3 linked regions of the Elephas maximus indicus genome follow. The protein of the gene in region 1 purifies or fractionates together with the protein of each later gene. This does not show direct contact. Links are inferred from orthologs where the notes say so. Each region holds a gene or a part of one and is shown in the gene's direction. Other genes may lie near its edges.

Region 1 (3,746 bases):
CACCACTTGCTGTGAATCGACTCCGACTCACAGTGACACCATGTGTGTCAGAGAACCATGCTCCACAGAGTTTTCAGTGGCTGATTTTTCAGAAGTAGATTGCCAGGTCTTTCTTCTGAATGTATAAGACAGTAATAAGAACACACATTTTATGTAGCAAACATTCTGTAATAAAATACAAGTTCGATGGCAATAATGATGCAGAATGTTCCACTTTGAGGTCAAGCTGATCCCAGCAATTTTTAAACCTATATTTACGTGTATGGTTATTTAATGAAAGGACGTCGCTCCACTAGGCTGTACTATGAAGCAAGAGGGTAGGAACTACGTCAACTTTCCTGACCTTTGTATCTCTAAATATTTGTTGCATAAATAGCGTCTATTAGCAAAGATACAGCACAGTGCTTGGGACATCATAAACATTCAGTGTATAAAAGCTTTTATTTATTATAGTGGCTGTTATTACTGAAAGCATTCAGCTGTCTGGCACAAAATAAGCAAGCAATAATTGGTCGTTTATTATATTTATAATTATTAGTTACGATACGTTACAGCGCCTAGCACGTATCATTCACTCATAAACATCATGTTTATAATAATAAGATGAATAAATAGTACTTTCATTATTGCTCAAAGCCTTTAACAGTGCCTGGCACTAAATAGGCAAGGGAAAAGTGGAGTTTATCCTTATTAATTATCATTATTGAATAGAGCACTTAACGCAACAGCCGGCCCCCAAAAGGCCCTTAAAAAATGAATAGTCTTCACCCAGACTGTCATTATTTCTGGGCAGCCCGGAGCGGCCCCGCCTCCAGGGCTGCACGAAGCCCCGCCCCTTGCTGCATGGCAGCCCCGCCCCCCTGCGCCTGCGCACTGCTGTAGGGGAGGGCTCCGCCCGCAGCCTCCCTCTCCCGCCCCTGGAGCCGGCGCAGGGTGCCGCTTCCCGCCGCGTGCGTGCGTCGCTGCGTGCGTGCGTGCGTGCGTGCGTGCCGTCAGCTCGCCGGGCACCGCGGCCTCGCCCTCGCCCTCTGCCCCTGCGCCTGCACCGCGTAGGTCGCCCCCGCCCCCACGCACCCCGTCGCGACCCCCGCCAGCGCCCCGCTGGCCTGTTTTTTTTTTTTTTTTTTTAATTTAAAGGGGGCGCAGCATTAACGCTTCCCGCCTCAGTTGACTTCTCAGGGGTCTCCCCACCAAAGGTGCCGCGCCGCCGAGGAACATGGCGAAGGTGGAGCAGGTCCTGAGCCTCGAGCCACAGCACGAGCTCAAATTCCGAGGTAAGCCGCGAAGGCCCCCGGGCCGGCCGCCATGTTCCGGCCAGGCCCGGCCGGCGCCCCGCGTGGGCTGCGCGGCCCCACCCCAGTTCTGGGGGTGCAGGCCCGGCGCCCCCACAGCTGTCAGGAGCCGCCTGGGCCGGAGAGGCCGCGCGCGGGGGCCCAGGCTGCTTTGCCGCCCCGGCCTCTCGGGGCGCCTCGCCTTCGAGGCACTTGTCACAGTTGTCATTGTCACTGTTATCGCCTAGTTTAGTTTGTGGTCTGCTCTGGAGTGTAAGCACTCTTCACGAGATTGACCTCCTAGGTCTCAGCCCGGATGTCCCCAGCTGGTGACCCAGCTCTCTGTTCTGTGGTCTGCAAGGCACTGGTCACCATCCAAACTGCCCGCTAACTAACTTGTTTTCTGTCTTCAATGCTAGAAGGGAAACTCCATGAGGACAGGATTTGTCATTCATCCCCTGTGCACTCGTTAGGCGGCCAGTCGCATGCTGAGCAAATGAATGAAAGGAACTTCCGCAGGAGTTGTGATAGGACATGGCCCAACTTTCTTTCTAGTGTCTTTTTGCTCGCTTATGTCCTGCAGCTGGGGCAGTGCTGACAGAATGGTTGGATCCGATTTCTCCCCAAGGCTGCCTGGAGATGGAGCTGAGTAGCACGTGAGTTTGTGGCGAGCCAGAGCCTCGGTTCCTAGGTGCAACTTTCGTCTTGCTCACTTGTACCTTTACATTTCTTAGCTTTTTTTGGACTGTTTTCGCCACCAGAATACAAGCACGTGAGACAACAGGCACCTTGTCTGACTTGCTCATAGATTCTTTCCGCATGTGTTGAGCTTTTAATGGTGTGGTGGGCGTGTGCTTGGCACTGGGAGACAGCGGTAAACAAGATGGACAAGGTCCCTGCTCTCAGAGAGCTTACATTCTAACTAAGGGAGACAAACACACCAGCAAACAAACTCACAGGATCATTGTGGATTATGTTAAGTGCTGTGAAGGAAATAAAACGGGCTGACCTGTTGGAGGGACACTTTAGATTGAACAGCCAGGCACCACTATATCACCAGCACCTGGCCCACAGTAGGTACTGAATAGGTGTTTTTGGAATGAATGCTGGCCATAAGCACCCAGTGACTATGCACTGTTAGGAAGCAGTGTAGGGTGACTAGCCCAGAGTTACCCAGTTGGCAAGCGGCACATTCAAACCCAGACTTCAAAGCCTGCATTTTTCATTGTTATGCTGTGTGACCCCTGGGAAATACTCCAGAACTGTGACTGTCACTTTGCCTCCTAGGTACACAATCTGAAATGACTCCAAATGGACCTGAAGGTTTTCCAGTTAAGATGAAAACAGCAAAGCAAAACACAAAAACCTAGCACAGGTCACAATTCTGTGACAGTACTTTGGTTTGCATGATGTTCTCATGGCCTTCTCCTGGAGGAGCTGGGCTGGGGAAGGAATCTGAGTGCCTGAGTGGATGTGGTGAGAGATGGTTTCCACTTGAGTCGTCTGAAGTTCTCTGTCCCGGGAAGCCTGACTCGGTTGCTCCTGTGACTTGGTGTGTTCATTCGTTTAGTCCACAAACACTTACTGAGCGCCTACTATGTGTCAGGTGCGAGGAGAAGCTGAGTCACATGAGATGTACTTCTTGCATTGGCCCCTAGCTCACCACCCCAGTACCTAAGTTTAGGGAAGGGGTCAGCTGAGCCATTTGATAAGGAGGTCAACTCCTAGAAGAGGTATCATTTGAGCTGAGTTACAGAAGTCGAATGGAAGTAGGCTAAAAGAAGTGGGTGGGGACCATTTGAGGTAGAGGGAATTGCATATACAAGGTGCAAAGGCTGGGATGACTGGACCCCTTTGGAGTGCTGCTAGTAGTTCTGAATGATAGCTGCAGAGAGCATTTGTTGGAGGTGCAGGGCCAAGTGGAGATGAAGCTGGAGAGTGGAAAGAAGTTGGACATAGCGGTGTTCCAGTTACCCTCATGGGCCTCTCGTCAGACAGTCCTCCCTGGATTGACCCCCAGCGGTTCCAAGCCCCCACCCCAGCACCAACACTGCACCAATGCGATGTTATGGAAAGAGGCACCGATTTGAGAAAGTGCAAGTTCCAGTTCTTTTGACTTTGGGCGGACCTCTTCACTTGCCAAAATCTGGAACTACTTTTCGTCAATAGGGATGATGCGCACGTCCTACAGAAAGCTTCGTTGTTTAGAAACAGTTATCTGTGGCCGTCCAGTGCTTTGTAAATACAGAGATTGGTGATTGCATCTAGACAACTGGTTTCATGACTTCATCTTTTCAGTGCTGTTATGACTGTTCAGTGCTTTATAAATGCAGATATTGGTGGTTGTATCTAGACACCTGGTTTCATGACTTCACCTTTTTAGCGGTGTTATGACTATTCAGTGCTTTGTCAATGCAGATATTCGTGGTTTTATCTAGATACCTGGTTTCATGACTTCAGCTTTTCAGTGGTGGT
Region 2 (3,746 bases), on another chromosome or scaffold:
TTCGGTCCGCGACTTTGTGAAAACTCAGAGGCGAGAGTATAGATCTGGCAGTATTCCGTGGAAGGCGCTCGGAAGTTTCCCGACAGGCTGACTCACAACTCTGAAAGGAAACGTGACACTCTATGGGATGAAAGGCTAGTCCCTGTAGATTCCTTGACCAAAAAAGGGTGCCCATCTCCAGTGCAGGGAAGGGGGCGTGAATTCTAATCCCGCGTTTACTCTTTCTTTCTCCCCACGATTTACAGCCGGGAAGTCAAAACACCTCAAGGGCAGGTGCTCCGTCCTCGCGCCGCGCTCGGAGGACCGGGAGCGGCAGTTACAGGCGTCCAGACACCCAGGCTGGGCAGACCCAGGAAGCCGGCAACACCCCAGGCGTTGCCTCGGAACCTGTAATAATGGGGGTGGGAAGTGCTTCCTGAGACACCCCTTCTTGAAGGCCCCCGTCTAACAAGGAATGGGTTCAGCATGCCCCCTCCTAAAATCCCCTCTTTTAGGCGCAGGACTTTTGACCCCCTCTTAGGGGCGGGGCGCTCCCGTCGGATCGTAACCGCCGCGTCGCGCCCTGCGTCTGGTCTGGACGCGCGTCGTCCGCTAGGGGGCGCAGTGGGAAAAACCTTGCAGTTCTCGCTGCGTGGCCCGTTGCCGGGAGATGAGAGGGGGAGGAGGGGCCGACGGGAAAAAGAAGCCCAACTTGGCCCAGATGGGGCAGGCGCAAGAGTCGCGGCCGCGCAGCCGCCAGTTTTCCCTTTCGGGCCGGCGAGCCCAGGTTGGCGCCGCGCTCAGCCCCACCCCCGACCCGAGCTGCGCACGCGTCGCGCACGCGGCCGCCTCCGCCCACCGCAGGGCTCGCGACGGGCCTGCGCGTCTGGCCAGTGGTGGCGCTACAGTCGGAGGCGCGCCGGGGCCGGTGAACCGAGCGTTCTCGAGGGAAGGGTACGAGGGGAGGTGCAGGAAGAAGGAGCGAGGGGGCGGCTGCGTCGCCCGCTGCGGCTCAGGAAAATGGTGTTCGAGTCTGTGGTCGTGGACGTTTTGAACCGGTTCTTGGGGGACTATGTGGTGAACCTGGACACGTCCCAGCTCTCTCTGGGCATCTGGGGAGGTAACGAGAGCGCCGCCGTTCCACAATCTCACCTTCCTCCTGCTCCCCTAGCTGCCCGAGCCGGGCCCTGTCTGGTTTTGGGCTTCAGGCCCTTTCCTCCCCAGGCGCTGCCACCCACCTGCCGCCTGCCTTTTTGGCTCAGGTTGCGTAAACCGGGTGGCGGTGTCCGAGCTCTCGCCCACGAGTTGTTTTATTTTATCGGGTGGGTGAGGGATGAAAAGATCCCCGTTTCCGAGCGGAGCGGTGGGCACCGATCCATGAATCTTGAGTTCAGATCCCACCGAGGAACCCTTTCTGCCCGGCGCGGTCCGGCTTCAACTGCGCTGGGCGAAAGGAAGCGACGAGACGCTCCCGGGTTTGGTTTCATCCCTGTCATTTTCCCCCTTGGGTTATGCTGCAGGCCCCAGAGAGCCTACGAGTGTGGCACGCTGCCTCGCACGTGAAGGCGAGGTGCTGTGACAGAAGACGCCCTCCTACTTCTTTCCCAAACCTGTTTTCGCTAAACCCAGGGTGTTTTCCGGCTCCCCCTTCAGGCTACACAACCTAGACTCCGGGTTGCCTCCCAACGTTCGGCTGATAACCAAAAGCGAAACTCCTGTGCAGAATATTTCAAATGGTTGGTTGTGTTTTCTAAGTTCACAACCTGACCAAGAATGTGTCACATCTGTGAGGCTTTGGGATTTTGTGTGTCAGAGTGACTTACTGAATTAAAAAAAAAAAAAAAAAAAAGGTCCTCCGTCCGAGAGCTCAGACCTACAAAAAAGACGGGGACGAACTTGAACTTAACGCTCCTTAGATGGTGCAGGACCGAAGCTTTATTTTGTCTCAGTTTACGGTGATGCATCATCTTATTTAGAGCCTCATTTTTAGTGCTTCCATCTGTTTTTGTATTATACCTTTATTTACTTTAAACACCCATTAGAAATTAGAGTGCTTTATGAACTAATTTTCCATGCCAGTCAAAGCTAGGGTTTATTTTTTGTGTGAATAATATATTCTGATTTTTAAAAAAGTGATTACGTTTTCTTGAATATGTACTTACTTTCACCCCTCTAAAATACTTGTTTATCTTGATTTTTCTGGTTTATGAAATAGTATAAATAGGCAATTTATTTTGATGAAGAAAACCTCTTGTTACTGATGTTTGGCATGATAGAGTGGAGTACAAGAACTAAAGACATCATAGTGCCAGAAGCTTGCATATTGTTTAACCTGTACTGCTCCTCAATTGCAAAGTAAAAACAATATAGGTCGTCTTCGCCAAACTGGGAAGGAAACCTTAAGAACACATATGAGAGACATGCTTTGATTTGTAGTGGAAGGTTGTTTTTAAATTCAAGATGAAAGTTTGTGTAGAGGGTGATTTATCAGCGAATTTATTTGTTTAAAATTTACATACAGTAAAATTCATTCTCGAGGTGTACAGTCCTATCTTGACCAATGTGAAGGGGCATGTGCCTACCATCACAATCATGGTATAGAAATGTCCCATCAGCCCCCCAAAATTCCCTCTGCTGTTCCTTTGTAGTCTGCTGCCTACCCCCACACCAATTTTTGCAACCACTGATTTGTCTTTATGTGTACAGTTTTGCCTTTTCCAGAATGCCATATAAATGGAATTATATGGTATGTAGCCTTTTGGGTCTGTTTCTTTCACTTAATTTCACTTCTTTCACAAAATGCATTTGACAGTCATTCATGCGTTGAGTGCATTCCAATGTATATATTTTTATTGTTGTAGAAATACACACACCAAAACATTTACCAGCACAACTTCCGTATTTACAATTCATTGACATTGATTACATTTTTCATGTTCTGCCAATTATTGCTATCCTGTTCCAAAATATTTCAGCACTATTGACATAAACTCAGTGCCCCCCAAAGACTCCCTTTTTCTCCCTCCCTCGCCTTGCAACCATTAATAACCCTTTACGTCTATATATTTGCTTATTTCATATAAACCCATTACCCACTGCCATTGAGTAAGTGATATTATACAGTATTTGTCCTTTTGTGGCTGACTTATTTCACTCAGCATAATGTTTTCAGGGTTCGTCTATGTTGTGGCACGCCTCAGAACTTCATTTCTCTTTACAGCTGGGTAATATTGCATTGTATTTATATGCTACATCTTGTTTATCCGTTAATCTGTTGTTGGACATTTCGGTTGTTTCCATCTTTTGGCTGTTGTGAAAAGTGCAGTGAACATTGATGTACAGGTTCCTGTTTGTGTTCCTGCCTTCACTTCTTCTGAGTATATACCTAGAACTGGGATTGCCGGGTCATGTGGTAATTCTGTGTTGAACTTTTTGAGGAATGGCAAAAATGTTTATCCATAGTGGCTGTACCATTTTACGGTCTCACTAGCAGTGGGTGAGGGTTACACTTCCTCCCCAACCTTGTCAACACTCGTTTGCCGTTTTTTTTGATCATTTCTATTCTCATGGGGGTGAGGTGATACCTCATTGTAGTTTTGATTTGCATCTCCCTAATGGCAGTGTTGGAAACCCTGGTGGCATAGTGGTGGTTAAGTGCTGCGGCTGCTAACCAAAGAGTCAGCAGTTCGAATCTGCCAGGCGCTCCTTGGAAACCCTATGGGGCAGTTCTACTCTGTCCTGTAGGGTCGCTATGAGTCAGAATTGAC
Region 3 (3,746 bases), on another chromosome or scaffold:
GGGGCCATGAGCCAAGGAATGCAGGCAGCCTCTAGAAGCCTGAAAAGGAAGGGATTCTCCCCTCCTAGAGCTTTCAAGGGGCACAAGCCCGTCAACACCTTGATTTTAGCCCTTAAGCCCTCTTTTCAGACTTCAGACCACCAGAACTGTAAGATAAGAAATTTGTGTTGTTATAAAAACCCCCTTAAAACCCATTGTTGTGGAGTCGACTTCCACTCATAGTGACCTTTTAGGAAAGAGTAGAACTGCTCCACAGGGTTTCCAAGGAGCGGGTGGTGGATTCCAACTGCCGACCTTTTGGTTAGCACTTAGTGGTAGTTTTTTATACCAGCAATAGGCAAGTGAGGCGCCTAGGTAAAAAATTTAAGGCAGTACCTGCATGAAGCTGAGGGTTCGCCTGCCTCAATCCTGTCCCGGCTCTGGTGTCCATTGCGCGTTTATCAGCATTCTCACGCTCGCAGCGAGATTACCTGCGAGAGCGATTCGCAGCAGAAGCCGAGGGCCTCGGTGCCCGGTACCTACTCTGCCCAGGAGGCTGATTTCCAGGTTCCTGCCTACGTGTGTCTGGCCCACACTCGTGCGCAGAAGAGAAGGGCAGTGCTCTTGGGCTGTGCTGGGTCGGCCCGGTCCATATCCGGGCGGATGGGGTGGGTGGGGCCGCCCCCCTCCGGGTCCCGAGGTGGGTTGGGGGTGGGGAGTGACGCGCGCGGTTTCCCTTTTGGCCCCCCGTGATCAGACAGGGGGCTACGCAGGGAACGTGGGGTGACCGGGCGTGCCTTTCGGACGTGCCCGCCCTGCGGATCGCGCCCCGGAGCGCCCTCGCCCCCAGGCCCGGGCAGTCGCAGAGCCACAAGGACAGGGAGTGGAGGCCAGCGCTGGGGCGCGCCGAGCCGGCCACCGCTCCGAACTGGCCCGGGAAAGTAGTGCGGAGGGCGGAGCCGGCCGGGCCTGCGGGAGGAGGGGCGGCCGCAGCTGCAGCCCGCGCTTGGCTTCCGTCCCAGCTCCCCTTCCCCTCCTCCTCCTCGTCCTCCTGTATGAGTCAGGCGTTTCCCGGGGATTGGGAGCAGCCGCGCGCCGCCTGGCCGCCGGGAGCTGCAGCCGCCGCTGCCGCCACCGCGCCCCGAGCCCAGCGCCCGGGCTGCCACCGCGGCGGGCACTCGCGCCCCGGGCGCGCACGGACCATGGAGAGGACGGCCCCGGGCGTGGAGGGCGGCGGCGGCGGGGGCAGCGACAGCAGCAGCCGCAGCAGCAGCCGCGCCACCTCGGCTGGCTCCTCGCCCTCCTGCTCCGTGGCGGGCCGGGGGGTCTCCGGCAGGTCGCCGGCGGCCGGGCTCGGCGGCGGAGGCAGCCGCAGCAGCCCGGGCTCGGTGGCCGCTAGCCCGTCCGGGGGAGGCGGCCGCCGGAGGGAGCCAGCGCTCGAGGGCGTGCTCAGCAAATACACCAACCTCCTCCAGGGCTGGCAGAACAGGTAACGCGCCCGCCGCCGCGCAGTGTGTGTGCCGTGTGCGCGCGCGGTGCTGCCACCGGCGGACCGGCCGTGCCTCGGCACCGGGCCCTTCCTGCGTCCCGGCTCCCCCTCGAGGTGGGGTCCCCAGGTGGGGGCGCGCCAGGACCCCACCCGGGACCGCACCGCAGTGGCAGAGAGAGGCCAGAGCCCTTGTTTTCTTCTGTGCTGGCACTTGCAGGCACTGGAGTGGCAGGGGAGCGTCCTGGTCCCCGTGCCTGGCCTGCCAGCGGTTTCCCCCACCGGTGAAAATAGCCCAGAAAGGGAGGCAGAGAGGGCCGGCTTTGGGCTTGGCAGCAAAAGCGTTAACAGTCTGGTCCATTCACAGCAATTCTCTTCACAGAATAGTCCGGTTTAAACTTTGGTGATTAAAACAAGAGCAAGCACCACAAAGCCCCTGCCACTTGTCGTCCTCGGCGCCCCCTAACGCGCGTGTAGCACCCCCTCTCCGGTTGGCCATTCGAACCTCCAATCTCTGCAAAGGAAATTTAGTGGGGTTTTTGTTCGTTTGTGTGTGTGTGTGTTTTAAACACTCTCTCCCCTTTCGGTATGGGCGGCTGGCTTTTTACATTGTTGTTATTTCCCCCCTTGATGCTTTTTGAAGTTTTCTGCTCACTCTCCTACAGCTGGGAATATGGACACGTGGGCGGATGAGAATGTCCTGGGAAGCGACTCCAGCACACTTGGGGTGGTAGTAGTGCATGGACTATTGGAATGAGGAAGATTTTCAAATGAGTAGAAGTGGTATTACTCTTTAGAACGTTTTCCTTTGTTTTTTAAAAAGAGGAAAAAAAAAAAAAAAAAAGAAGCCAGAGGGAAATATGAGTTGTCCATGCAAGTCGAAGAGGCCTTTCTGGAAAGGGGGTCTTGTCTTTGCCTTTAATAGCGGCATGGGTCTTAATAGACGAGGGACTCTTAGTGATGCTGTGCTTTCTGGATCACCCTGTGGGGGGTCTTGCTTATCTCTCTGTTGGTTAACCCAGATTATTGCTTGGTGGTCTGTCTTCCTGTAGCTTGTTTGGAAATGTTCAGCTTGGACATCCCAACTGAAGTATGACCTGCAGACGTGCATGAAACTCCACTAGGAAGGTGATGACTTCCAAAGTATGGAAACTAGGTGGTTTTTATATTGATACAGAACTTTCCCAGGCTCCTGGGTTTCCTTGGAGACCTGTTACTAAGTTAACCAAAGTTGCACTTTAACTTTTGAATCCTTGTATTTCTCAAAATAACCACAGTGTTGGCTCTTGCCTCTCCCTGTCCCCTTTCAGTTCTTGAGAGCTGAAAAAGACTAGGTAGAGTGGGAAGGGTGACGGAGAAGAGGTGACCAAATCTGACTTTCGTTCTTGGTTATTGTGTCTGGTTAATGGCGCCCCAGGGTGCCTTGTCAGTGACAGCGTTTTGTTTGTGCGTTGAGCAATCACTTTTAATGCTTTTTCTTCAAGTACCTTATGATGCCAGCAGAGCTTTTGCCCTGGATTACAGTTACTTTCCTTGCTTGGGGACACTGATGGTTTCACCTAATTGTAAATCCACTGGGGAGTGTAGATGGGAGGCAAAGTTGAGAAGAGGTAAAATCGCCGTCATCATCTTGTGTGATTGCAGGGTGCGTAGGTGAAAGAGGTGTCTTGTACACTGTTGCATTTATTTACTGTGATTTACAGCTGTCTGCCTATGTTTGTTCTACCGACCCTAGAAGCATTGTCTCAGTCTAATGGTTAATGCTTTAGTGTCAGGATTTATACTTCCCACATCCGCGTTCTCTGAACGATGGCTGAGGGTTCATCAGTGGTCTGGAAAACATTTATGATGGCTCTGTGATTGCACACTCTTGCTTCTCAAGGAGCCTTCTAAAGAGAAACCTGGATTAGTGACTAGAGAGAAGAAAATGAAGATAAGAAACTTGAAAATGTGTTCATTTGTTCATTAATAGATTCAGTGATTATTTTATTGAGCACCTGGGCGATCCGATTCCAAAAGTTCGCAGCCTTGGGAACCCTGTGCAGCAGTTCTGTTTTGTAGACACAGGGTGGCCATGAGTTGGAATCCACTCGAGGGCAACTAACAACTACAAACCAAACCCATCCTTCATACTCACAGCAACCTACAGTACAGAGTAGAACTGCCCCCATAGGGTTTCCAAGGGTGTAGTCTTTGTGGAAACAGACTGTCACATTTTCCTCCCGTGGCAACTGGTGGGTTCCAACCACTGACCTTTTGGTTAACAGTCAAGCGCTTAACT

Evidence for each region.
Region 2: the proteins of VAPB (region 1) and VPS13A purify together in Homo sapiens (affinity purification with mass spectrometry; 3 studies listed by BioGRID and IntAct, counting the BioPlex papers as one, with this or other methods). This does not show direct contact. The link is inferred for Elephas maximus indicus from reciprocal best matches to the Homo sapiens genes VAPB and VPS13A.
Region 3: the proteins of VAPB (region 1) and OSBPL10 purify together in Homo sapiens (affinity purification with mass spectrometry; 4 studies listed by BioGRID and IntAct, counting the BioPlex papers as one, with this or other methods). This does not show direct contact. The link is inferred for Elephas maximus indicus from reciprocal best matches to the Homo sapiens genes VAPB and OSBPL10.

What each region holds. Positions count from the first base shown.
Region 1 is NC_064843.1:10,890,798-10,894,543, reverse strand, and holds the start of VAPB (vesicle-associated membrane protein-associated protein B/C), read left to right. Parts: upstream 1-984; 5' UTR 985-1,216; coding exon 1,217-1,274; intron 1,275-3,746. UniProt on the Homo sapiens protein: Endoplasmic reticulum (ER)-anchored protein that mediates the formation of contact sites between the ER and endosomes via interaction with FFAT motif-containing proteins such as STARD3 or WDR44.
Region 2 is NC_064827.1:93,519,404-93,523,149, forward strand, and holds the start of VPS13A (intermembrane lipid transfer protein VPS13A), read left to right. Parts: upstream 1-833; 5' UTR 834-999; coding exon 1,000-1,099; intron 1,100-3,746. UniProt on the Homo sapiens protein: Mediates the transfer of lipids between membranes at organelle contact sites. Binds phospholipids. Required for the formation or stabilization of ER-mitochondria contact sites which enable transfer of lipids between the ER and mitochondria.
Region 3 is NC_064845.1:7,589,794-7,593,539, forward strand, and holds the start of OSBPL10 (oxysterol-binding protein-related protein 10), read left to right. Parts: upstream 1-1,034; coding exon 1,035-1,468; intron 1,469-3,746. UniProt on the Homo sapiens protein: Probable lipid transporter involved in lipid countertransport between the endoplasmic reticulum and the plasma membrane.